Notamacropus eugenii: one gene and its partner. The protein of the gene in region 1 interacts with the protein of each later gene in a biochemical or structural test. Links are inferred from orthologs where the notes say so. Each region holds a gene or a part of one and is shown on either strand. Other genes may lie near its edges. The genes, in order: CCKBR and CCK.

Region 1 (12,239 bases):
CAGGAGCTATAGGAGAAAATAATGAAGTATGAGAAAATGGGAATGACTTCTGAACCAAGGTCCTTAGAGACATGGAAAGGTATGAGATCAGAGGCTCAAGTAGATCAGTTAGCATTGAGTAGGAGAAAAAGGTATCTCTTATGTCACCAAAGGATAGGGGGAGAAAGGAATAATAGCTGATTGGACCAGACCAGACCACATGTGGCTTCACGGTTCCCCACTCCAGGACCAGACCTATGATTTCATTGATAGCAGAAACTCCTGTAATAATGCAAATGGACACTTGCTTTGTGGCACAGAGTATTAGAGAGTTGTCTGGGGGCAAAAAACGAGAGGCTAAATGACTTGCTTAGGGCCATGTAGCCAATACATGTCAGAACTTTCCAATTCCTAGGTCTACTTGCCACTGCCATACTACTACTACTGCTTATTACCACCGCCACCTACTACTACTCCCTTATAGTACCACTATTACTAGAAATACTACTAATAAATAGGGACTATTAGCAGAAACTGTATTTTGCCTCTTTTTGTATTGCCAGTGGTTAGCACAGTGCCTGGCATATGAGCAGGCACTTAAATGTTTACTACTGTATTTATTTATTACTACTACCATTTTATTATTATTATTACTGTTGTTTTTATTATAACAGGAAGAACAATTGACATTTATATAGAGTGCCTCCAGGTTTGCAAAGGACTTTACATGTGTTCACAATAACTGTGAGGCAAGTACCACATGGATTATTATCATCATTTTACATATAAAGAAACAGAAACTCAAATAAGTTATGTGACTTGTCCAAGGTCACAGAACTAGTAAGTGTCAAAGGTAAAACTCAAACCCAGAGCAGCCAGATTGTAAGGCAATGGTCTTTCCATAGCTAGGCTTGTGTTTGTCCTTCCTTGCCAAAGAAGACTGTGCCATCAGAGAAATGATGACATGACTTGCACTTGACTTTGTTTTGAGTGAGGGAGGGCCGTGCAAGGTCACTAGCCTCACTTCTCCTCCAGAGCCACCTGAGTCCAGTGACAAGATATTCATCAGGATGACTGGAGATGGCCCAGGATGCACTGGGAGACCTTGGGCCCTTTAGGCCAAGGTCTATGCAGGTACTCACTTAGGGTGAGGTAATGCCAATTCATTGAATAGACCTGTTTAAGAAGTAGCCAGGGCATGGCCCCTTTAATGAGGCAAAGAAAAAGAAAGACATCAGGCTGGGAGGGAAACAGCAACAGTCTGAAGAACAAAGAAGAAAGGACTAAAGAAGCGCAAGGTGTACAGCTTCAGTCATCTCGTGGAAGCTCTCACTGGTTTGAAAGGGCAGTCTGATAGGGTTGGAAGTGAGAAGAGAATAGATGACAGAAAGATGGACACATAATTAGATGGACAGGCAGATGGATGGATAGAGCATTTGTTAAGCACTTAAAGTGTGCTCCCCACAGTGCTAAGCACTAGGGATACAAATACAAGCAAGTCAGTCAGTACCTGCCTTCAAGAAGCTTACAGTATAATGAGAAAGATAACTCATGAAGGGGAATTGACAGAGGGGGGAGGTGTACCAGCTTTGAAATAGTACGGAGATGTGTGGAGTTGACTTGAGGGCCTGGCTCCTGACAAAATGTGACAAAAGTTCCCCTATAAGAGGGCAGCTAGGTGATGCAGTAAATAGAGTACTGGCCCTAGAGTCAGGAGGACCTTAGTTCAAATCCAGCCTCAGACACTTGACACACTAGCTGTGTGACCTTGGGCAAGTCACCTGACCCCAATTGCCTTGCCTTCCCCCCTCCAAAAAAAAAAATGTTCACCTATCAGAGTCCCACATCCAGGGATGTGCTGGAGCCAGCTCCAACCTCTCCTATTGAATTTTCAGTGTGAGCTGGAAATCCACAAACACTACATACAAGTCATAGCTTGATTTATTGTTTTGTTGATTGACTAGACTTGACTTAAGAAAGTGATAGAAAAAAATGTTAATCATGCAGTTTATATTTAAAAGTACATCCTGCATACAATTTTTTTTTTCTGAAAACTAGTTGTTAAATATTTACCAGAACACCACTGCTTGCAGCCCAGGCAGGTGAAGAATTCAAACTACTAGTAGGAGGAAAATGAGGATGGTAGCCAAGATAGAGGCAGTATGGTATAGAGATGACCAAAGAAAAAAATGTTTAGAAATGTTGCCCTGATGAATGACAGAAAGAGTAAGGTTGAATAGGATTCAAACAGAAGTAAGGGCCCAGCTGAGATTATGTGAGATTATTATCCACAGATAATGAAATCATCTTGATTTCAATATTTTCTCCAACTATGCTCAGCAGCCTTAAAACAAGATTGGAGGTCAGATGGTGGGAGTTACCAAGGGATAAGGATTTAAAGGTCAAGAGGAAGAAAGGAAGGGATGAAAGGGGGAGGGAAGAAGTATTTATTAACGCCATATACCAAGCATTTATTAACTATATGCCAAGCACTATCCTAAGCACTTTACAAATATAATTTCACTTGATCTTCACAACAACCCCATAAGATGTATGTGTGTGTGTGTATACATAGGCACACACATATATATACAAATATACACATACATATATGTGCTCTTATTATCCCCATTTTGCAACTAAGGAAACTAAGGCAGACAAAGAGTTGAAAGATCAGAGGGCAGAGGATTTAAAAGATTCTGGAGCAGTAGAAGGGACAAACCATGGGATCAAGGCTGGGAATGAAGGCAAGCAAAGCCAGAGGGAAAAAAAGTAGAACAGAAGAGTAGAGGTGACATAACAAAGGTCACCAAAATGGTGACGTGTTAGTTTAGTGTGAATAAATGCACAAGAGAGGGAAGGGAAGAAAAGTCAGAGATTAGAATTTCAAAGTTCTGGACCCTAAAGTGGGGGTGTGGAGCTCTCAGCTAAGTCTGGCCTTTGCCTGAGCACATCCAGGAATAAGGCGATCTATTCCATTTTGGTACAGTAATTAACTGAGAATTTTCTTCTCTTCATTGCTCCTAATGAAGAATTGTAACATCCAATTATGACCCCACAAAATGTGCCCAGGACTATAAAAAATACCCTTAAATCAACTTTTATGATTAGTTCAGATGAGAGAGCCCAAGGGAGAAAGGTGACATAGTCATTGTTTATACTGTATGAGCTCAGGTTCACAGTTCCTCCTACTTGTTATCAACTCTAGGGTCCCTGAGGAACTTAACATCACCTTATTAGCTGTTGCAGGAAGACTTTTAGTTCCATTTTCGTCTCTGTAGTCTTAGGTCTGAGAGGCAACAGGCAGAGTGGATAGAGAGACATCCTTGAAGTCAGGGTGATCTGGGTTTGAGTTTTGCCTCTGACATGACCTGGCATGACCTGACAGAACCTGATCCTAGGCAAGTCATTTAACATCTCAGTTCTCGAGGGCCAAGAGTCTACAGTCTAAGACTATAAACTGCAGAGAAAATGCCAACCTGAATTTATAGAGGGAGTTCTTCCTCTCCTCTTCCCCTTCGAGTATCCTATATCAAGGAAATCATAGGTCCATTTCCTATCTGGGGTATGGCTAAGAGGCTATTGGGTAGGGCAGTAGATGGCACACTGGGCTTAGAGTCAGAAAGGCCTGAGTTCATGTCCTTCCTCAAATACTTACTAGCTATGTGACCTTGGGCAAATCACTTAACTTCAATTTCCTTAATTGTAAAGTGAGGATATTAATAGTGCCTTCCTTCCAGGGTTATTGAAGGATCAAATGAGATATTTGTAAAATGCTAAATACAGTGCCTGGCATATAGGAGGCACTTAATGATTGATTATTTCCTCCTTCCTATCTTAGGGGTTGCAGTATCAGGGCTTCATATGTGCATTCAAACCTATTAGGTGTATTAATGACTCTAGTCAAAGCCTGAGAGGGTCATTTGACATAGTCTATCTGTCCTAGGGATCACAAAGATAATGAGAGAAGCTGTAGGGGCACGTGAATGATCCAATGATCTCATGAGGGGCCCGCAGCAGGACATGTTATGATTCTAACCCACAGAAGTTGGGACTCAGGGAGGCCAAATCTTGTTCCAACCTACCTTTCCAGCTATATTTCATATTACTTGCCTCCTTTCTGGCCATATTTAATTTTACTCTCCTTAATAGTTCTATCTTCCAGCCAAATGAGATATTTGTAAAATACTGAGCACAGTGCCTGGTACTTAATAGGCAACTAATAAAAGCTTGATCTTTTCCCACAAATAGATTGCTATCTGTTCCTCAAATTCAATATTCTATGGGAAGGCTCAAAGACTAAGAAGTTTGTTTCTGAATACACATACACACACACGATAGGTTGAAGCAAAGGGCAATTCCTCTTCACAATACTGCTCTATCTAGGGTTTTTGTTCTTGTCATTTCCCCTTCCTTCCCCCTTTCATTTGAATGGGAAACCTAAAGGATCTTGCATGGTTGGGGAAATTATAGTACCTGAGACCTATCTCACTCTTGTGAAATTTCTTGGCAAGGTTTTCCCATGAAAAAAAATGTCATTTGAAAGCACAGTATCTCCCAAAGGAGTTGAGCAGGAGATTACAAAGAATTTCTAACCCTAAATCAAATAGTTTGCTGGGCCAATGAACTGTAATTCAGCTCCAGATGCAGAATTTTCAAGTACCTGTAGGTGTTACTTAGCTGTCTAGCTGTTCTGTGTTCCAAAAGAGCTTGGACTTTAGAAAGAAGGACCATGTTTGTGTAGAAAAAAGCTATGTACAAGTCAGACTTCAAGATTCGATGGATCCTTTTGGAGAAGAGGCATCCAAGAGTTTGTTTTTTTTTCTAATCTATATTAGGTATATGAAAGACCTTGATGCCCTCACTTAAATGGAAGTTTAATTATCTGGGCTATAAGCTAAAAGAGATAGAATCTACTTTCCCTCTTAAGGGAAAGAAGTAGTACAACAGTACCTAGCAGTAACCACATACCCAATGGAGTACCACTGAACAGAGAGAGACATACAAGACATTTTGGAAAGCAGATCCAATGGAAGCGGGTTAATGATATCACCAGAAGACATTGGCAATATTGACACATCAGAAGCCTTTCCATAAATGTGCCCTGTCCACACAAGTGTCCTAGGAATGTCCACTCTTCCCACCTTGAATACATATTTTTGTATGCTCTAGGTTTATGGGGGAAATGTTCTATTACTACTTATCTTCCTATGCTATTTCATTAAATAGCTTTGCTTTGAACTAAACATTTCCTCTGGCTGACTAGTAAAAGTAAATACATTATTAGGGGGCTCAATAACTATGGTTTTTGTGTGAATTTAGAGAGAGTCCTTTAACTTGAAGTATCTTGTCTGGAGTAACCCACATAGAAGCAAAGGTTGCCTGTAGGTACTCTTAATTCCATCATCTATGTGTGTTGTTGTTTGTCCTTCATTTTTGAAGAGGATCAATGACATCACGAGGTGATGTCTTGACTTGTGCAAAAATTAGATTTAAGTGAGTTAGAGTTATACAAAGTCGTCAGCTCTACTCTGTCTTACAAGTCAAAGGAATCCAGTGGCAAGACAAAAGTCAAGACCGCTGGTGATGGCCCAGGATGCAATGGATGACCTTGGCACCTTCCATGTCTGACCAAGCTCTAAGCTCCCCACAGCACCTGCTTCAGCCACCTTCATGGTCGTTGAAACAAATTGCCCATTCCACCAAGAAAAGTATTCACATATGTGAGGTAGACACCCCCTAACTCATCGATAGGTCTGAGGCCTGTTGGTTAACCTCAAAACCTGGTTTAGAGTCTCTACTGAGACAGTTTTACTAGGGTGTGGCCACTGCACATACTGTAGCTTCTTGGAGCCACAGGTGAGAGTTGAGTGCCAGATGGACACCAAAGGTGGATGAATAGCCCTGAAAAGGACTCGGCAAGCCCTCACACTAGAGGTGCTAATTCTCCTTAAACACCCCATATACCCAGTTTTTAGGTGTACATTATTGCAAGCTGTACCTGACATCCAGAATGGGCTCTCATCTCCCTCTGTCTTTAAGATAACTTATCTTTTTTTTTCAAGTATCAGGTTATGTGCCTCTTTCTCAGTGAAGTATTCCTTGACCTGACTCTATCATTCCTCATATTACATTATATTTACCTATCTGTGTAGATCTCTCTCTCTTAAAATACAAGCTCCTTAAGAGGAGAGATTGTTGTGTTAGCTATTGACCCTCTAGTGCCCAGGGCATTCTATTTTGCATTGAGCTCACAACAAATTGGTGAGCCAAATTGGATTGAACCTCATGCTGTGCTATGATTTAAGGGTTCCATCATTTCTGTTCCCTAAATTCTAAATCTCTAACTCTTGTTTTCTCTCTGTCTCTTCTCAATCTTCATGCCCCCATCCCCATCTCTCATTCGCCCCCCACACCCACCCTAGTCTCCTTCATTTCTGTTCCTGCCTAGGCCCTTAAACTCTGTCCCATACTCCCAGGTTCCTTAATTTGTCTTCCTTCAATGTCATTCACCCTTCCCCCTTCTCAATGGGAAAATATCTGCTGGTTATCAGTATTTCCACCTGGGACTCCTTAGCTAGAGCAAATAGGGCTACAGGCCCTAGGATCTGAGAGTCAGCAGAGCTGGGTGAGGTAGCAGTGCCAGGAGACACTGGACTAAGCCTAGGACAAAGTCTGGAAGTAAGGTGGGCATCCTTCCCACAGAGTAGGTGTCCTCCCAGCTGCATCTCAGCTCTCTTCACTTCCTGCCCTTCCCTGCTGCAACTTACCTGGGTCACAACTTTCCTTCTGAATTGGAATTCTTAAACTGCTCCCATCCTCCCATCCCTGCCCTTCTTCCCTTCTACCCTGCCCATCCCTTCAGTCCCATCAATCCTCAGTCTTTGGGGGCTATCAATCATGAGGGAAGGGACACTAATGGGCTTTTTTCCCTGAAAGATGGGGGTGGAGGGGTGGAGGAAGGACACAGTATCCCTGGAGCCAAGGAGATGATGAAGAGACTAAGGAGAGGGTTGGGGAGGGGGAGATGCCCTCACAGATAGGGCTGGAGGCCAAGGACCTGGCAAGCATCTCCATCCCTTTGGCACCCCCTCCTATTTTTCTCATCAATGCATCCCCTGTCTTCTCAGTCCTTAGGATCTGGTGCCTCTTTTTCAAGACAGCTTACCCATTCTTACCTTTAAGGAGACTGAACAAGCCCAGGATGGGTCCTGTGATACTAGAGGAGGTGAGATGAATGCTGGGGGTCACCATCCTCTCCTCACTTCACCCATCACCTTCACCCCCAACCCACTTTGGCTTCATCTTTGTCCTCCCATCCTCTGCCCTACCCTCCTCCCCGTGGGAAGCCCAGGCTGGTTATCTACATCTCCACCTGCTCCCAAGAGCAAACAGAGGGAGGGGAGAGGTGGTGGTGGCAGCACTGGCACTACCAGGTGCCAAAGGGAGCTAGGGACTCCTCTTTTACTGGTACTCTGCCCCTGGGAAATTTCCACTCATTGGAGTCCTTCCTAAGGTCAGAGTCCTTACTACATCTCAGCTCCCTGAAGTCTATCCGCTGATGAAGAGTATTTGAGTTACTGTAAAGGACTATTTGAGTTGGTGTCATTGCGCCCTGGTCTGTCATTGGGGGTGTTACTGTGGCTCTAATATTACTAGGACCAGAAGTGTGACTGGTTATGACGTTGGGGCCAAGGTATCACTGAGTCCAGAGGTGTCACTGAATAGGTTGTCACTGAGATTTCATTAGTGGCTGTTATTGAGTCAGATGTCTTTGGAGCAAAGCTATTATTGGGACTTGGGATGTCATTGTGTCTCTAGGGGTACTACTGGGGACAGCCAGGAGTTATAAGAGGGGTGTGCTGGGACACAGGATTCTAAGTGAATGGCTGTGAGCCTTCCCTGCTCCCAGTCCGCACCTCACACTTGCCCCCAAATGAAACACGACTCATTGGTGTCCCACTCTACATTTTGGTGCCCCATAGGTCAATACGGTAGCATAGCTGAAGTACAGTACAATTAAAACGTCAGATCTTGTCTCCTACCACCCTTCCTTGCCTCCCCCCGTCCCCCATCAGCAGTGGCAGCCTCAGCCCCGCGCCTGACTCCCTCCAGAAACTGGGGCTGGAGCAGCAGTATAGAGCACCTCCATCCCCCTACGCCCACCCCCAGGCCGAGCGGCCGCGCTGCAGAGAGGGGGGCGGGACCCCAGCTCTGCTTAGCTCTGGAGGAGAGGGGCGGGGCTCCCCAGGCCACCCCAGCCCCAGCACCAGCAGATCCCGCTGCGGAGGGAACGAGGCTGGGAGTCCCCTGGAAAGGGGGAGGAAGATTTTAGGGGTTTGGGGGAGCTGAGGCAGAAAGACACAGGGCATCGAATGACACTGGGAGAAAGCCAAGGGAAAAGATTTGCGGGGAGTCAAGGAGAGACCCAGGGGTAGAGAGACGGGAGGAGAGGCACACGCAAAGGGAGGGACGGAGAGACGCAAGGAGAGAGGGGGAGAAATCCGCGTGGGAGCGCAAGGTGCCGGCCGGAGGCAGAGGGCGGAGCGGACACACACCAGAGCCGGCCAGGTCAGGGGCACAGAAGCGACAGACGCGAGAGCAGGTGGAAGCGGTGGGAAACGGCCCCCTAGGTTCCCGGTCTTCCGAGGGTCTTGTCCCAGGCCCGCCTCTACCCTGGGGCCATGGAGCTGGAGCTGAATCGGAGCGTGCCAGAGCCAGAGTCCCAGTGCGGCCCGGGGCCCCTGTCCCCCAACAGCAGTGCTAACAGCGGTGCCAATAGTAGCTGCGGATCTCCCCGAGGAGGCTCTGGAGCCAGCAGGACGCCCCGAGGTAAGTGTTCCCCTTCTTTGATGCCTCTTGGCCCCATCTCTCTCCCATTCCCGTGTCCCCTTCATCTAGGACCCTTTCCCTCTGGGCCCCAACCCCCATTTCCCACCTCTCCTTTCTCCAGCTTTCTCTGCATGTCCCTTACCCCTGATGCCCCAGGGACCCTACCACAAGCTCCAGAATGCAAAGCCCAAGATCATGGAGGTGGGGTGAGGGGAGGAGCAGGGGTAGGATGGCAAGACTGTCAGAGAGCACTAGAGGAGTATTTGTGAGCCTAAAGGGGAGTTGCGCTGTTGATCAGGGGGCTAACCCCGTAAGGAGAATTCGTGATCTGCAAAGACTTAGAAGCTTTCTGCGTGTAGGGTCCAAATGGAGCGCGCACACACACACACACACACACACACACACACACACACACACACACACACACACACACACACACACACACACACACACACACACACACTAAATCTGTTGTTGAAGCTAAGAAGCTGCCAGAGCTGAGGAGGCACTAGAGGCTGAGAGGAGTGGATACCCCTGTTCACTGAACTCCAAATCTTTCGGACCCCCTCCCCCTGGAAACTGGGACCTTTCTCCCCAGGGTTTTCCTCAAAACATTTCTCTTGCTGGAAACTGACCCCACTCCCTGTCCCATGTCCTGTTCTTTCCCTTCCCCCAGCAGCCTGTCTCTACAAAAGCATGTCTGTCGCTCACCCCATCCCCATTCCAAGACTGCTCATTCCTCTCACATACACTCCTGTTACTCTGAGCTTAGTTCCCTCAAATATCTCATTCAAAATCCCTTCTTCCTCATCTCCCCTGGCTTCTTGGCCTCCCATGTCACTACCATTCTCTCCATCTCCCCACACAACCTTGTGGCATCCCTGCCACACCCCTTCATCCACCTCTGTATAGTTTTTGCCACCAGCTGATCCTCCTTGTGTTCTTGGCCTCTCTGCCCCTCCCCTTCAGAACCCCCTTCTACCTTCCACAGGCTCCTGGCCTCTTTGCTACCCCTGGTGCCTTTCACCTTCACTTCAATCACCATCCTTCATTTCCTGGAAGACCTGAGTCACCTTTTCCAAGGTGCCTTCCCAATTCGACTCCCCTTCATTCATACCCTTCATCTGGGAATCCTTCGGGGCTTATGGAAATTGAGCAATTAATTTGTCCTTGCTTGTTATTTTCTTATCTCTCTATCCAGAACATATAACTTTCCCAGGGCAGCTATATCTCTCACTGAATGGATGTTTGAATGAATGGTAAATAAAAAACCAAAAACAACTGAAAATCATAAAGTGCTACATATGTCATGTGATATAAATAAAAATAATATATTAGTTACTTAGACAGATGAAGATAGAGGAAAGATACAGAGATGGATAGAGGCATACTAGAAGCTTTCAATATTTTTTTTGGTCCAAGAATCACTTTGGTCAAAGATCCCCAGAGGAATTCCCCTTGTTCCCTTGGCATGTCCCCTAACCAGTACAATATGGTGGATTTGGAGTTTAGAGGAGACCTGAATCCTTCCTCTGACACCATCTAATATATGATCTTTGTCAAGAGATTTAGCTACTTTAGGCCTCAATTTCCTCATCTACATGATAAGGAGTTGAACTAGATGCCCTCAAAGGTCCCTTCTAGCTCTGAATCAATAACTAACCTAAAATGAGGGGGATAAAAGTCTAGAGTGCCCTCCTCAGAGGGTTGTCATGCAGGTTAAATGAGACTGTATTACAGCATTTTGCCAACCTTAAAGGTATTTCCAGTGATAGTACTAGTATGGGCTAATGGTCAGCCTTGGATCCAGAAAAACCCAGTTTAAAGTCCTGCTTCTGACAAAGACTAGCTGTGTGATCAGGAGGCCAGTAAGTCACTTCACCTCTTAGTAGCCCCAATTCTCACAACTATAAATTATAAACCAGGGAGTTTCCACATATAGGGATTCCTCCAATTAAAAGAAAAAAAATACCTCTGGAACAGAGAAACAGAGCTTATAAGACCTCATGAAAGGATGTCTTTATGTCATATCAGAAATAAATTAGTAATTCCTTCTTGGAACCAGAGTGTAGATAGGACCACCTATGAAATAATATAGAGACAGGAATATATGTGAGAGACATAGGAGTGTGTGTGAGAGACAGACTAACAGAAAGACAGAGTGTGCTTATGCATGAAAAAGACAGGTTCTGTGTGTGTGTGTGTATGTGTGTGTGTATGTGTATGAGAGAGAGAACTGAAGTATATATAAAGAAAAGGGAGAGAGGACTGAGCTACAGTATGTGTGTATGAGAGCATATGGGAAGGCTTCTGAGGTACAACAGTGTGTGAGAAACAAAGAGGAAAGGAAGACTGCATTTGTGTAAGAGAGGAAAGGGGGGATTCTAAGGGACTGAGGAGTATGCATTTGTGTGAGGGTGTGGAGTGGAGGAAGCTGGGAGATGGAGAGCTGTTAGTGCAAGAGAGTGAGGGAATGAGGTAGGTGACTGGAAAACAAACAGACTTAGAAATAAGACCCAGTAGCTGGACTCATATAATGAACAAAGGGAATGTCCCCTGCTCTGTGCTCATCATACTCAGTTCAGCCTGTGTATTTAAATTGGCTTTGGCCATCATCCTGGATGAAGACAGTTGAGGCTGAGAAGGGTCAAAGGATATAGCTTCTCCCTTCCCAGACTAAGCTCTGCCCCAGAGTCCCAAAGTTCACCAGTTGTATCTGGTGCTTTGATCAGCCTGTGCTCCTTCCCTTCAGTCCCATCTCCTTCTTTCCTTGTCCTTCTACTTTCCCTAATCTGCTTCTCCTCTCCAAAGGAAAGTTCTTTCCAACGTGGTCCCCATATCCACCCCTATGGCTGCTAGAGAGCACTGCACTGACATTGCAGCTGCTTCCTTTGCTGCAAAGATCTTAGCATCACAGATCCAAATCTGGGAGGGAACTCAAAAGCCACCTAGTTAACTCCCAGCCCCCTTTTTGTGGATAGGCCTAGCAAGGGCAAATGATTTGCACAAGGTCACATAGGAAGTAAGCCTTGGAGGAAGAGTTTAAAGCCCTTTTACTGCTGCACTGTCATTAACTTGCTCTGTGACCTTGAGCAAGTCATTGTATCTTTCAGGCCTTCATTTCTTCATTTGTACAATGAGGTGAGTTCCAAAGAGAGGTCAGTGTTTCAAAAAAAATGAAAAAAGAAAAGAAATTGGACACTTGGGGCTTGGAATATTTCATTACAAAAATCAATCACATTTCCATAGTTTTAAAGATTTACAAAGCACTTTCATCATAAGAAGTATATAAATAGGTCAAATATGATTACCACTATTTTTAAAAATGGCTAGGACAGATGACAGTAGAAAATAAAGGCCTTTTAGGCAGGAATTGCTTCACTTCCTGTGTGTACTGCCAGGATTTATCACAGAACCTGTGCTATCAT
Region 2 (12,508 bases), on another chromosome or scaffold:
CCTAATAGGGTCATATGATGGGGATATGGTTGTGATATAAGTAGAGATTCCTCACTGGACTCTGAATCACGGAATCAGAGGGGGAAGGGATCTTGGAAATTGGCTAGTTCTCTCCATTCCTGAATAAGGACCCTCTGCAACAGATTCAACAAGTGGTCATGTGACCTTGACTTGGAGACCTTCAATGAGGAGGAAATCATGACTTCCAGAGGCAACCCATTCCACTTTTTTATAGCTTTCATTGTTGGGATTTTTAATTTCTTGTATTCAGCCTAAATTTGCCCATTTACATACTTTGCCAATGACTCAGTACCACCCTCTGGGGCCAAGAAAAGTATGTCTTACAGCTCTTTCACAGGACAGCCCTTTCTAATACTTCAATACTTAAAATAGCTAAATACTTAAAAATACTTAAATATTTAAATACTTAATACTTAAAAAAATACTTTAATTATATCACATATTTCCTAAGTCTTCCCTTCTCCAGGCTAAAGATTCCCAGATCCTCCAATTAATTTTTTGTAGCAAGATCTCAAGGACTTTTTTTTTTTTTTTTTTTTTTTTTACCATCTGTATTCCCCTTGTCTGGATGTTTCTGAGGTTATCAAAAGTCTTTCCTAAAATACTGCGCCCCAAATGGAACAGGATACACCAGATATGGCCTGATCAGGGCAGAATTCAGCAAGTAGACTATCTCCTTCTTTTTATGCCCTTCTGAATGTTGCCCAAGACTGCATTATCTATTTTTTTTTCTTTTACTGCCATGACTTGTATTGAACCTGTGGTCCACTAAGACCTCCAGATCCTTATCAAGAGAAGTGTGATTTAGTCACATCTTCCCCATTTGTTCCAGTGAAGAGGATTGAATCATTGCTTTTCTTTTTCCTACCTATGAGATCCTGAGTTAATCACTTCATTTCTCTGCCTTAATTTCCTCACCTGCTAGCTGAGAGGGTTGAACTTAGATAACTTATGGTCATTTTTGACTTTATATGCCATGATCCTATGAATACAATCTCAAACTTAGTTCATGACATGGAAGGTATATATGGATGAAAGGAAAGTCACATGTAAGTAGTTCCACTTGAAGCAATTACTAAAACTATTGGCCTGAGGCAGCACTGGCGAAGTGGATGGAAAACCTCCCTAGAAATAAGGGAAACATGGGTTCAAGTCTTGCTTCTGGTACATATTGGTTGTGTGATCCTGGGCAAGTCACTTAACCTTTCAGTGGTCTGCTCAACTCTAACTCAATGGTGCCAATGTGCCTTGGTAGAGGAAGCCTCCTCATTCAGGAATTCCCTAACAGTGGCATCAAACCCAAATAGCAATGGAAGCCATTACATAAGGATCCCTGTGGACTGCACATTGGCTCAGTTTTTAAAATGTAATATCATCTTAATAATTGCTTATTGACTTAAGAACCATAAAAGTTGGGAGACTGACTTGAGTGGTAGAACCTCTAGAATCTCTGTTCTTTCCACATTGAGCTGTGTGAGGACAGAGATGGCATTGAAGTCCAGGATTCCTGGAACCCAGTCCATGATGCTTTCTGAGAACCTAATTTATTCCCAGGGAATAATGTCAGATGCTGGAGAAATGATGGTTCATTCATCTCTTAGGGAATTGGTGAACAATCTCTATTCAAACAGTAAGAAATAAATCATCAGATCCTTTCACAATGGTGATAGTCTTTAAAGGTTTTAAACCCAAATGTCCTTCTCACCCACGGATGATCCCTCTCAGCTTGGCAGAGAAGCATTCATTTAACATGAAGCATTCACTCCTTCTAATTCTTGCTTTGGTGAAATCTGACACAGCAAAATTTAATATTCTAAGGGCCACTATTTCTGTCAAATCTTGTAAGTCTATTAAAATTCACGTTGGGTGTTCCTCCACGATTTTAAAGTCAAAATGCATAGGGATTGTATGATCATAGTTTTAGGGCTGGAAGGTACCTTGGAAGCCATCTAGATTAATTTCCTCTTTTTACAGATAAGGAATCAGAGGTTGAGGAGAAACAAAGTGGCTTCTTACATGGGGATTAAAAGGTAAGCTCAGTATTCAGACTAGGAACTCCAGCTCTAATGTCCTTCCCACTGTACCACACTGATCCTATATATTTGGTTAAAAAAAATAGGGGTTAGAAGTTTTTTATGACTATCCTATTTTAATTATCTGAAGGAATTAATTCAGTTTTGGTGTGAAAATATTCATTGAGGAAATATGAACATCTTCAGAGAAAGAACTGAAGCCTCAACAAATAAATAATGTCAGTATGGGGAACTGAATTACTGGTGACTCTTCTTTTCATAGCCTGGCCCTCTAGTTAGTCACTGAGCATCATATACAATAGGGTTTTTTTAAAAAAAATATTTATTTTAGATTTCGTTTCCCCCTTTTATTTATTCATGCATTTTTTAAACATTCTTTAAAAAAATCTGAGTTCCAAGTTCTTTCCCTCCCTTCCTCCCATTCTCTGCCCATTGAGAATAGAATAGGGGTTTTCTTAATCTTTTTTTTTTTTTTGTATCATAGATGGCTTTGGCAGCCTGTGAAGTAAATAATATTTTTAAACACATAAAATAAAGAGGAAAGCATAGGCTAATGAAGATATAGGTGCAGTTTTTTTCTCTCATCCAGGTTCACAGACTCCTTGAAAGCTATCCACAAACCCCCAAGATGTCCATGGACCCCAGGTTAAGAATCAGTGCCAAATAATAACAAAATCTTTGTAGCACTCCAAGCCTCAATTTCTTCATCTGTAATATGGGAATGAGAAATAGGACTTAACTAATTAGGTTTACCTTGCAAACCTCCACAATGTCTTCCAGCTTTAACTTAAGGAACGCTACATAAACATCACCTGCCACTAGCATTAATTATTATTATTTCAGCACTTAGAATGCTAAAAATGGCTACAGGTTTTGTTGCTTGCAAAATATGTGTTGAGGAAAAGAAAAAAAAGGAACTTATTCCTATAAATATATTTACTTCTGAGTTTTTCTACTGAACATTGCAAAAAAGCCTTGTAGAAATATTTGCAAGAGATGAGGGAGAAGAGGGTGAGGGATTCTGTTACCTTTCCTGGCTTGTTGGATGTACCTGGCCAACAAAGCCCCGAAGTTGCTCCTGGAGTCCGCATTTCCATCAGCTCTCTGTAGAGGCTTCAGTTGACTGGGGGAGGCAGGAGCACGGACATGCCGGTGCTGGGCAGCCAGGCTCTGCTCCAGCTCGGAAGTCCCTGGGTTGGCATGGCTGGACTCTTTTGGCTGTTGTCCCAAGGAGCTTGCTGACAGGACAGCGAGGAGCACGCAGATGCTGAGGCTACTGTACATAGCTGCAGGAGGAGGGAAGGAATTCAGAGGCAGTTAGGGGAAAGAAGACTGCTATGCTGAAGGAGCAGTGGAAAACAGAGGAAGACTGGCAGGAGGCTACCCCAGGTAAGAGATAAGGTGGTGCCTGGTTACACTCTAGAGGAGCTTGTGACAAAGTACAAATAGCATACAAAGGACATTTTCAGGTGATGCTATGAGACAGACCCTTTGCCTATAAAAGTGTCTTTTTATTGTTTTAATTGAGTCTACTGAGCCTTTACTGGAATTGTAGAATTTTCCAAGTGGAAGGAATCTCAGAGATAAATCAGATCATCCAGCCTTTTTAGCTTTGTTCATTCTTTCCCCAGTGAAATATATGTCTTGAGGGAATGCAAGGAGGCAGATTAAAGTACCTAGCACGCATCTGTAAGCTTTTTGGGTGTGTCATGGATCCCTTTGTCACTCTAGTGAAACCTATGGGTTCCTTCTCAAAATAATAAGGATTTAAAAAAAATTCATAATTGAAGGAAACACTAAACTTCAGTTAGAGGTTAGTGAAAATAATGATGTGATTTTCCCCCCTCATCCAAGTTCATGGACCCTTTGATATCTTTGAACCTCAGATTAAGAAATCCCAATCTAGACCAAATTTCCCATTTCCCAGATGAAGACAACGGAGATCCAGAAAGGTTCAGTTTTTTTGTTTTCTTTTTTACCAAATGTTGTACAGTTAGGAACTGGTTGAAGCTAGGACAAAAGCTTTGGAAGCAGAGGACCTGAGTTTAGATTCTAGCTGGACTGCTGAGTTACCTTTCTGACCTGGGGGCAAGTCACGTGACTTCTTGGGTCTCAGTTCCTCCTCTATAAAATGAGATTAAATTAGATAACCTGAACTCCATTTCAGTTAGAACTTCAGTTAGATCTGTGATTTTATAAGCCTATGGTTTCTCAGCTTAGAAGTCCAGTGTTTTTTCATCTATATGTCCTTACTTTCTGACAAAGTACACTTTATGAAAAAGTAGGCAGTATCCACCCCCCAACACCTCTCCTCCCCCCGAGAAAAACTTCTATTTTTTTCTATCTTTAGGAGGAAACCTTTAGTTTGAATGGAACATCATTAATTAGCTTGGATATACTGGACAAGATTCATAGTAGGGGAGAGGCAAAGACAGGACAGCAGAACCTTTGATGAAAGGGAGGAGAATTCATTTTAAAAAGAAGATTCTATTCATTGAATCAGACTCAAACAGAGAACTTATTTCCCCCTTAGTTAAGTAACCATTGTGTTGGATTAAATTGGGAAGAAATATCCATTTTAAAAAGCAGTCAAGAACCACAAAAAATCCCATTTACAGCAGTTTTTTTTTTTTACAAGCAATACACAAGGTTTAGCATTGAATCTTAACCATAATAAATGCATCTTCATTAGAAATATGAAAGACTTAGAGGTCTCACTAGAGATCAGAACACGTTTGAGAAGACATTAATGGTCTACACTAGTTTCCTGGGCAAACGCAATTTTCACTTTCCTAGCACTGGAGTGCTTAATGGTATTTCCATAGCTACTTTGAACCTTAAAATCTTCCAGCATTTTTATTTGGCAAGACTTTAAAAGCCTTCCCAACCCTGCATTATACTTCTTCAAATGATTTCAGTCCCATTTTAAAGGACAGCTTTTACAGTATTTGATTATATCTGTGAGGGAACAGGATGCTAATACCTTGAAGACTAAACTTTTTTTCCTCAAAAATACAAATCAATTTGACTCCACTTACAACTTACTAACCATTGTCATTAAAAATGCTATTTAAAATAATGTCATAGTTTCTCATTTTGACTAAGTCTGAAGAAGGAATAGTTAAAAATGCAGTTATAAGTAATAATTTAAAACCATGAGAGACATGGAAAATAGATCACCAGAAATACATGATAATAGGCATTCCTGTGGCAGTAAATGACAATTTCATCCCTCTCATAAAAATGAGTTAATTCCGAATTTCCTACCTTAAAAATATGATAGCAACTTCCTATTTCGAGCCAGAGAGATGTGTTGAGTGTCCAGGTTAGACAACTTATGGTGGTTTGGAAAAGCTGTCTCTTAAATAGTCCAGCCTGCTGCCTGTAGTAGAGTCATCTATTGACACAGTGCTGACGCAGATAGGGGATCAACATGTGCTCAGATAGATGCTAAAGGGTCAGAACAAATTAATTTAACTCCCAGAGGAAAATGGTCACTATATATGTGTGTGTGTGTGTGTGTGTGTGTGTGTGTGTATGTGTGTGTGTGTGTATATGTATATATATATATAACTACACACACACACATACACACACACACATACACACACACACACACACACACACACACACACCATTTAAGAACTGGTTAACTCCTCTCTTGCCAGAATTTATTCTCTGTCTTTTGTACCTATATTAGCTGCCTAACTCAGAATAACCCTGGGAGGTGGGTGCTAGTATCACCTCCATTTTACAGATGAGCGAACTAAGGTTAGTGTTTGAGTTGAGACTAGAACTCAGGTCTTCCTGAGTCCAATGCTAGTGCTCTACCCACTTTGATACCCAGTCATCTAGTAGTTGTCTAGGAGAATTGAAGCAATATTTTGCAGGATAAGGAACCTTCATGCTTACCAGTATCACTAAAAAGTGTTCTGCACACAACTATCTATCTATTCTGTCTTTCATTTTCATCACTTGTAAAATGGGACCAATGAGATCTGTTTTTCTTCCCTCAGAGAAATAAACTTAGGGTTAAGGAGACAAAGGGCTGTTTTTGTCAGTCTCCAAGTCACCAACTTTATGGTAGCAAGGAATTTAGAGCCTTATGCTCACTTAGCCTGTGTAGGCGGGTTTTCATTCATTCTTTCGTGTGTTAAATGTGTGCTTATTATGTGCCACTTACTCCACCTGTGAGGTATTGGAGATCCACAGACAAAACCCAACCAGTCCCTCTAGTCAAAGAAGTGACATTCTCCTGGAAAGAAAGAACTGATAGGCACCTAGATAAAATTCCTATCTTCTGCTTGCTAATTTGTATCATTTTTAAGTGCCTACTGTGTGTGTAAAGAGTTCTAGACTTGAGTCTTAAAATACTTGTTTACCTCAGTTTCCTCATATGTAAAATGAACTGGAGAAGAAAATGGAAACCCCTCCAGTATCTTCGCCAAGAAAACCCCAAATGGGATCATGAAGAGTGGGACATGACTGAAAAAAAGACTGAAAAACAAAAACTTGTGTTGGCAAGTCATTTAACCCTTTCTATACCACAGTTTCCTCAATGGAAAGATGATGAAGTTAGATTAAGTCTTCTGAGGCCCATTCCAACTCTAAACTTATGACCCCATAATAAGGACAATAAATATATATTATTTCCAATTCATTCAGGTAACTCAGAGGAATCATCCTAGGAGTACTGATTTAGAAGCAGTGAACTCCTATTCACTTTGATACTACCCATGTGACTGGACTTAATTTTTTAATTGCTTAATTTCTCTGGGCCTCAGTTTCCTCATTTGCAAAAGCAGGGAGAGGTGACTCTACGGATGATAATGTCCTATCTAGCTCTAAATCTGTACTTCAATTATCCCAAGCATGGTACCCTTGGCCAACTTCTAGCCTCCATCTTGGGCTGCTCTTGAGTCCTGTGTATAGGATATTCAGGAACTAACTTTTCTCCTATATGTATCTACCCAGTCAGCTTAGCAACCCTTAGTTTGCCTAGGCTATGGAGATCTCTTCTCCCTTGTCAGATTGCTTTCACTTCCCAACATAAGACATTCCTGAGTCATAATGGACTTCTTTACCACTGCATTGAAAGGGCTGTCGGAGGAAGGGCTGAGCCTGGAATGTATCTCCATAGAGTGAATTAAATATTTCAGAGGAAGATCTGACCGAGGCGGCTGTCAATAAAGTCTTGTACTAGGCCGGAGGTATGATTTCTTGAATTAGGTACAGGAAGCAAACTTTCAGAAGCAGGTATGGGCTGTCTCAGCCTCCCTTCCCATATACAAAGTACCAGGTGTAATAGCTAAGATCAGAGTAGAGATTCCGCTCCTTGAGAGGTTGTACCCACTTATTAGTTACTATGTGTATCTGGGCAGTGGAGGTGGGGGTGGGGTCGGGGAGGAAGGACAGACTCGAGGATGACTTTGGTCTAACTCTCTCCTCTCCTCAGGACCTATTTCCAGTTTTGCACAACACACTCCTATTTCTAAACTTAGCCGGTCTCCCAACCACTCATTTGAACTTGGCAGGGGCTCTTATTCTTCGAACCCGATTGTCCCTGGGTATGTTACAACTCAGAAGGGCAATTTTTCATCTAGGACGAGGGGAGTCACAGATCAGGGTAGGCAGGGTGGTTCCGAGGTGAGGCATTCACATCAATTTCAATCTGGCCTTTGACCTTTTGAAAGCTTCTTACTATCCTCCTGCAGTGGAAAGCATACTGAAATTTGTGCCAAAGAAGTGGGAGCTAATTCGGACAGCTACTCGCTACTAACTCCCTGTGTGACCTTAGCTAAGCCGTTATTTCTCTTCCCTGGGCCTCAGCTTCTACATTTGTAAAAAGACCAGCCCGCCTACGTGATCTCTGAGGTTCCTTTCAATTCTGAAGCAAGATTCCTTACAATCCTTTGCCTTGGGCCATCTGCACTTTTAACTCCATTTGTTGAATCTAGACCTTCCCGACCCCGTTCCCTGGGGACACGCCCTCTCTAAGGTCCTCCGCAGCTCTAAATCCTAGGATATTGGGCACTTGAAATTCCTAACCTACTTGAAGATCCTTCCGCCTCCCCTTCCCCTCCCTCTTTTCCCGGTCTATGGCATATTCCCAGAAGTAGAAGTCTGTGCTTCCTGCCCTGAATCCCTGGGGCTTGAGGGGAAAAAAAATGACCCTAGCTCCCCACTTTCACCATTCTTCATCCCTTACCCCAAAGCTGAAGCCACGGACCCCTGATAAAACAGTGGTACAGCTGGCCACAGCTGGTAGAGAAAGTGGGCCAATGGAAAGATGTGGGATCGGCAGACCAGGGGTAACAGCAGCTCCTCGAACCTTCATTCCCTCTCCTGAACCCAGGGTGAGAACCTGGGGTCCTGAATCAACGAGAACATCTCTCGCTCGGTTTGTCCCGCTCGGAGGCGGGCCAGGAGTTGGTGGGGACGTCCAGGGGAGCATTCTGGTCCAATAGTTGAGAGGGGAAAGTGACATGCCGGGGAGGCGGCCGCGGTGAGGCGGCTGTCCTCTGCCTAGCTCCGCCAACCTGCCGTGCTGTCCTCTGGCGTCGGCTCGCAGAATGCCCTCTGCGCTCCCCTGCGCGGTGCTGGGCTGCTCCCCGCTCCCCTCTCCTTCGTGCTCCCGGCTCCATGCTCCGTCGCTCCGCTCCTGTGCGCCCGGTGCCAGGGACCCTTCTCCTTCGATGCGCCCTGCTCCGTGGCGAGGCTCTCGCGCGCCCCTCTTCTTTCCCAAGCTAAGCAGCTTAGTTCGCTTTACTTCCCTCTCCTCCGCAATTCACCAGGGACAGCAAATCTCGGCTGAGAAGGTCCTTCAGTAGTTCTGATTTCTCTTCTCTTCTCTTCTCTTCTCTTCTCTTCTCTTCTCTTCTCTTCTCTTCTCTTCTCTTCTCTTCTCTTCTCTTCTCTTCTCTTCTCTTCTCTTCTCTTCTCTTCTCTTCTCTTCTCTTCTCTCTTTCTCTCCTCTCCTCTCCTCTCCTCTCCTCTCCTCTCCTCTCCTCTCCTCTCCTCTCCTCTCCTCTCCTCTCCTCTCCTCTCCTCTCCTCTTCTCTTCTCTTCTCTTCCTTCCCTCTTCATTTCTTTCCTTCTGGCTTTGCTTTGCTTTCCTTTTCCCTCCTTTCCTTTCCTGTAGTCGGTCCTCTCCCGCAATCCAGTCTGCCTCTCCCGGCCCAGGAAGGTGTGAGAGATCTCTGACACTGAGACATTTGGACGTGGGAGCCTTATACATTTACTTTGTCCTTCCCCGAGGGAGACCCAGGTGAAGACTGCATAGCTCTCATCTTCCTTGCATTTTTAAAGTCAAGCATTTACACAGTACTTTTTATTGTAGGAGATGTGAAGAGGAGTTGATTAAATGATTTTAAGTGACTTATCCATAAGGTTGTTATGGTTCATGTAGATTGGTTGGAGTAACTAGGTGCATTTTTTTGTTTGTTAACTGTGGTAAAAAATTTCTGAGCTAATTCTAGAGAGGTAAACTACTGTAATGGATAGAGTTCTGGCCTCCAAAGCCAGGAAGCCCTGGGTTCAAGTCTAGCTTCTGAGGCACCCTAGCTGTGACTATGAGCTGTGGGACCCTTAACTTCTCAACCTGCCTCAGGCAACTCTCAGAAACTCAGGTGCCAATCTGCAACGGTAGAGGGAGTTTTCTCATTGCAATAAAATCATAGGTCCTGTTCAAAAAAAAAGAAAGAAAGAAAAAGAAAAAAAAGAAAAAAATTTCTAGGAAAAAAGAAACCTGTTTAAACAGGGAATCTAGTTACTTCGTGGACACTAAGGTTGACATTACCTCATCTCCAAAGGGGAAACTTCAAAGATGTCACTGACTAACAAATCCTTTCATCTCTCTGACCCTGAGTGTTTACCTTTGCAAAAGGAGAGGACTGGACTAGGATTTTGTATTCTGGGTCTCTCAAAGCAAATATTTCAGAAAAAGTCCCCCTTTTTGTTCATCATAAAATCAGCAGATAGATATCCACTATCCTGTGACCCAGGAACAACATGAAATGATTGTCATGTTTATGGAGAAATAAAAAAAGGAGAAAGCTGACAAGAGTTGCTTTCCATTCCCTTTTCCATTCCAGAATCATAGGAGGAATTACTGGAACTCTTAGCAAGTTCAATAACTGATCTTCAGCCAGTGCCTACCATTAGCTGAGTTAGAAGGAATTAAATTATTAAACCCACCAATTTTATGAGTAGAAGGTACATTGGATACCATCTTAGCCAACCTCCTCAGTTTTACAGATGGGGAAATTTGGGCCTCATAAAGTGAAATGACTTGCCTAAGGTCTTGTAGCTAGTGAATAGAGCTGCCATGTCATTTGTCTCCAAGTGTAGGGCTCTTTCTACCCATAAACCTCTGCAAATTTCCCTTGCTGGATTAGCAAAGTCTGAGTCTCCAATGAATTCATGTTCTAGTCACTTGAGGCCATTAAAAAAATTATTTTTGTTTTGAGATCCAAATTTTCTCCTTCCTGCTACTTTCCCCACCCATTGAGAAGGTGAGAAATATGATAACTACTATACATATGAAGTCATGCAAAATATATTTCTATATTTGCCATGTTGTGAAAAAAGCAAGAAAAATAAAATAAAAACTTCAACTTGCACTGAGAGTCCATCAGTTCTCTCTTTGAAAGTGGATAGCCTTTTTCATCATGAGTCCTTTGGAATCATCCTGGATCATTATATTGATCAGAGAAGCAAAGGCTTTCACTGTTGATAGTCATTACAATGTTGCTGTTACTGTGTTCCTTGTTTTCCTAGCTCTGCTCACTTCACTTTGCATCAGGTCATATAAGTCTTCTCAGGTTTTTCTGAAATCATCCCATTCATTATTTCTTATAGTACAATAGAATTCCATCATATTCATATACCATAACTTGTTTAGCCATTCCCCAATTGATGGGCATTTTCTCCGTTTGCAATCCTCTTTCATCACAAAATGAGCTGCTATAAATATTTTGTACACATAGGTCATTTTCCTTTTTATTTGATCTCTTTGGGATACAGACCTAGTAGTGGGATTGCTGGGTCAAGGGGGTACATACAGTTTTATAACCCTTTGGGCAAAGTTCCAAATTGTTCTCCAGAATGGTTAGATCAGTCCATAATTTTTCAATTTTTCACATGCCCACCTCCCACCCCAGCATTTGTCATTTTCCTTTTCTATCATGTTAGGCAATCTGATAGGTATGAGGTGGTACCTCAGAGTTGTTTTAATTAGTGTTTCTCTAATCATTAGTGATTTAAAGCATTTTTTCCACATGACCATTGAGAGTTTTGATTTCTGCTTCTGAAAATTGCCCATTTATATATTTTGACCATTTATCAATTAGAAAAATGGATCTTATTTTTATAATTTCAGCACAATTCCCTATATATTTGAGAAATGAGACCCTTATCAGAGAAACTTGCTGTAAGAATTTTCCCCAGTTTTCTGCTTTCCTTCTAATTTTGGCTGCATTGGTTTTGTTTATACAAACCCTTTAAAATTTAATGTTATCAAAATCATCTACTTTACCTCCCATGAACCTCTCTATCTCTTATTTGGTAATAAACTCTTCCTTTATCCATATATCCGACAGTTAATTTTTCCCCTGCTTTCTTAATTTTCTTATTATTTCACCCTTTACATCTAAATCATATACTCATTTTGATCTTATTTCGTTATATGGTGTGAGATGTACCATACTGTTTTCCAGTTTTGCCGACAGTTTTTGTCAAGTAACGAGCTCTTACCCTTGGCACTCCACTCTTTTGTGTCACTGTGGTCATTTACTTTGCATATTTGTGTACCTAATCTATTCCATTGATCAGCCTCTCTATTTCTTATCCAGTACCAGATCGTTTGGATGATTAGCACTTTGTAATATAGTGTGAGACCAGACACTGCTAGGCTGCCTTCTTTCATTTTTTTTTTCATTGATTCCTTTGGTATTTTTAACACTTTGTTCCTCTAGATTCAGATTTTTCTAGCTCTACAAAATAGTTCTTTGGCAGTTCAATATGACACTAAATAAATAAATTTAGTAATATTTTCATTTTTATTATATTGGCCTGTTCTACCTATAAGAAATTAATATTTCTTCAATTATTTAAATGTTTTTTTTGTGAAAAGTGTTTTGTAATTGTGTTCATATAGTTGCTGTGTATCTTATTCTGTCTGTGGTTATTTTAAATGGAATTTTTCTTTCTATCACTTCCTACTGGCTTTTAATGGTAAGATATAGAAATATGGGTTTATACTTTGTGCCTTTTCAACTTGAAAGTGCAATCAAATTTTGCTGTGGTCATGGGGACAGTGACTCAAGTTATATTGTGAAAGGTTGCCTGGGAAAGAATGGTTTGCTTCCACTTTTTCCATTCTGCTCAGTATTCTGCCCTCAACTCCATTGTATCTTAGACTTTTCTTTTGGGTTCAGTAGAAGTATTTGTTTGTC

What was found.
Region 2: the proteins of CCKBR (region 1) and CCK form a complex in vitro, tested with the Homo sapiens proteins (3 studies listed by BioGRID). The link is inferred for Notamacropus eugenii from reciprocal best matches to the Homo sapiens genes CCKBR and CCK.

Annotation. Positions count from the first base shown.
Region 1 is NC_092876.1:89,303,126-89,315,364, reverse strand, and holds the start of CCKBR (gastrin/cholecystokinin type B receptor), read left to right. Parts: upstream 1-7,525; 5' UTR 7,526-8,663; coding exon 8,664-8,811; intron 8,812-12,239. UniProt on the Homo sapiens protein: Receptor for gastrin and cholecystokinin. The CCK-B receptors occur throughout the central nervous system where they modulate anxiety, analgesia, arousal, and neuroleptic activity.
Region 2 is NC_092874.1:45,375,589-45,388,096, forward strand, and holds the start of CCK (cholecystokinin), read right to left. Parts: upstream 5,437-12,508; 5' UTR 5,322-5,436; intron 3,341-5,321; 5' UTR 3,339-3,340; coding exon 3,083-3,338; intron 1-3,082. UniProt on the Homo sapiens protein: This peptide hormone induces gall bladder contraction and the release of pancreatic enzymes in the gut. Its function in the brain is not clear.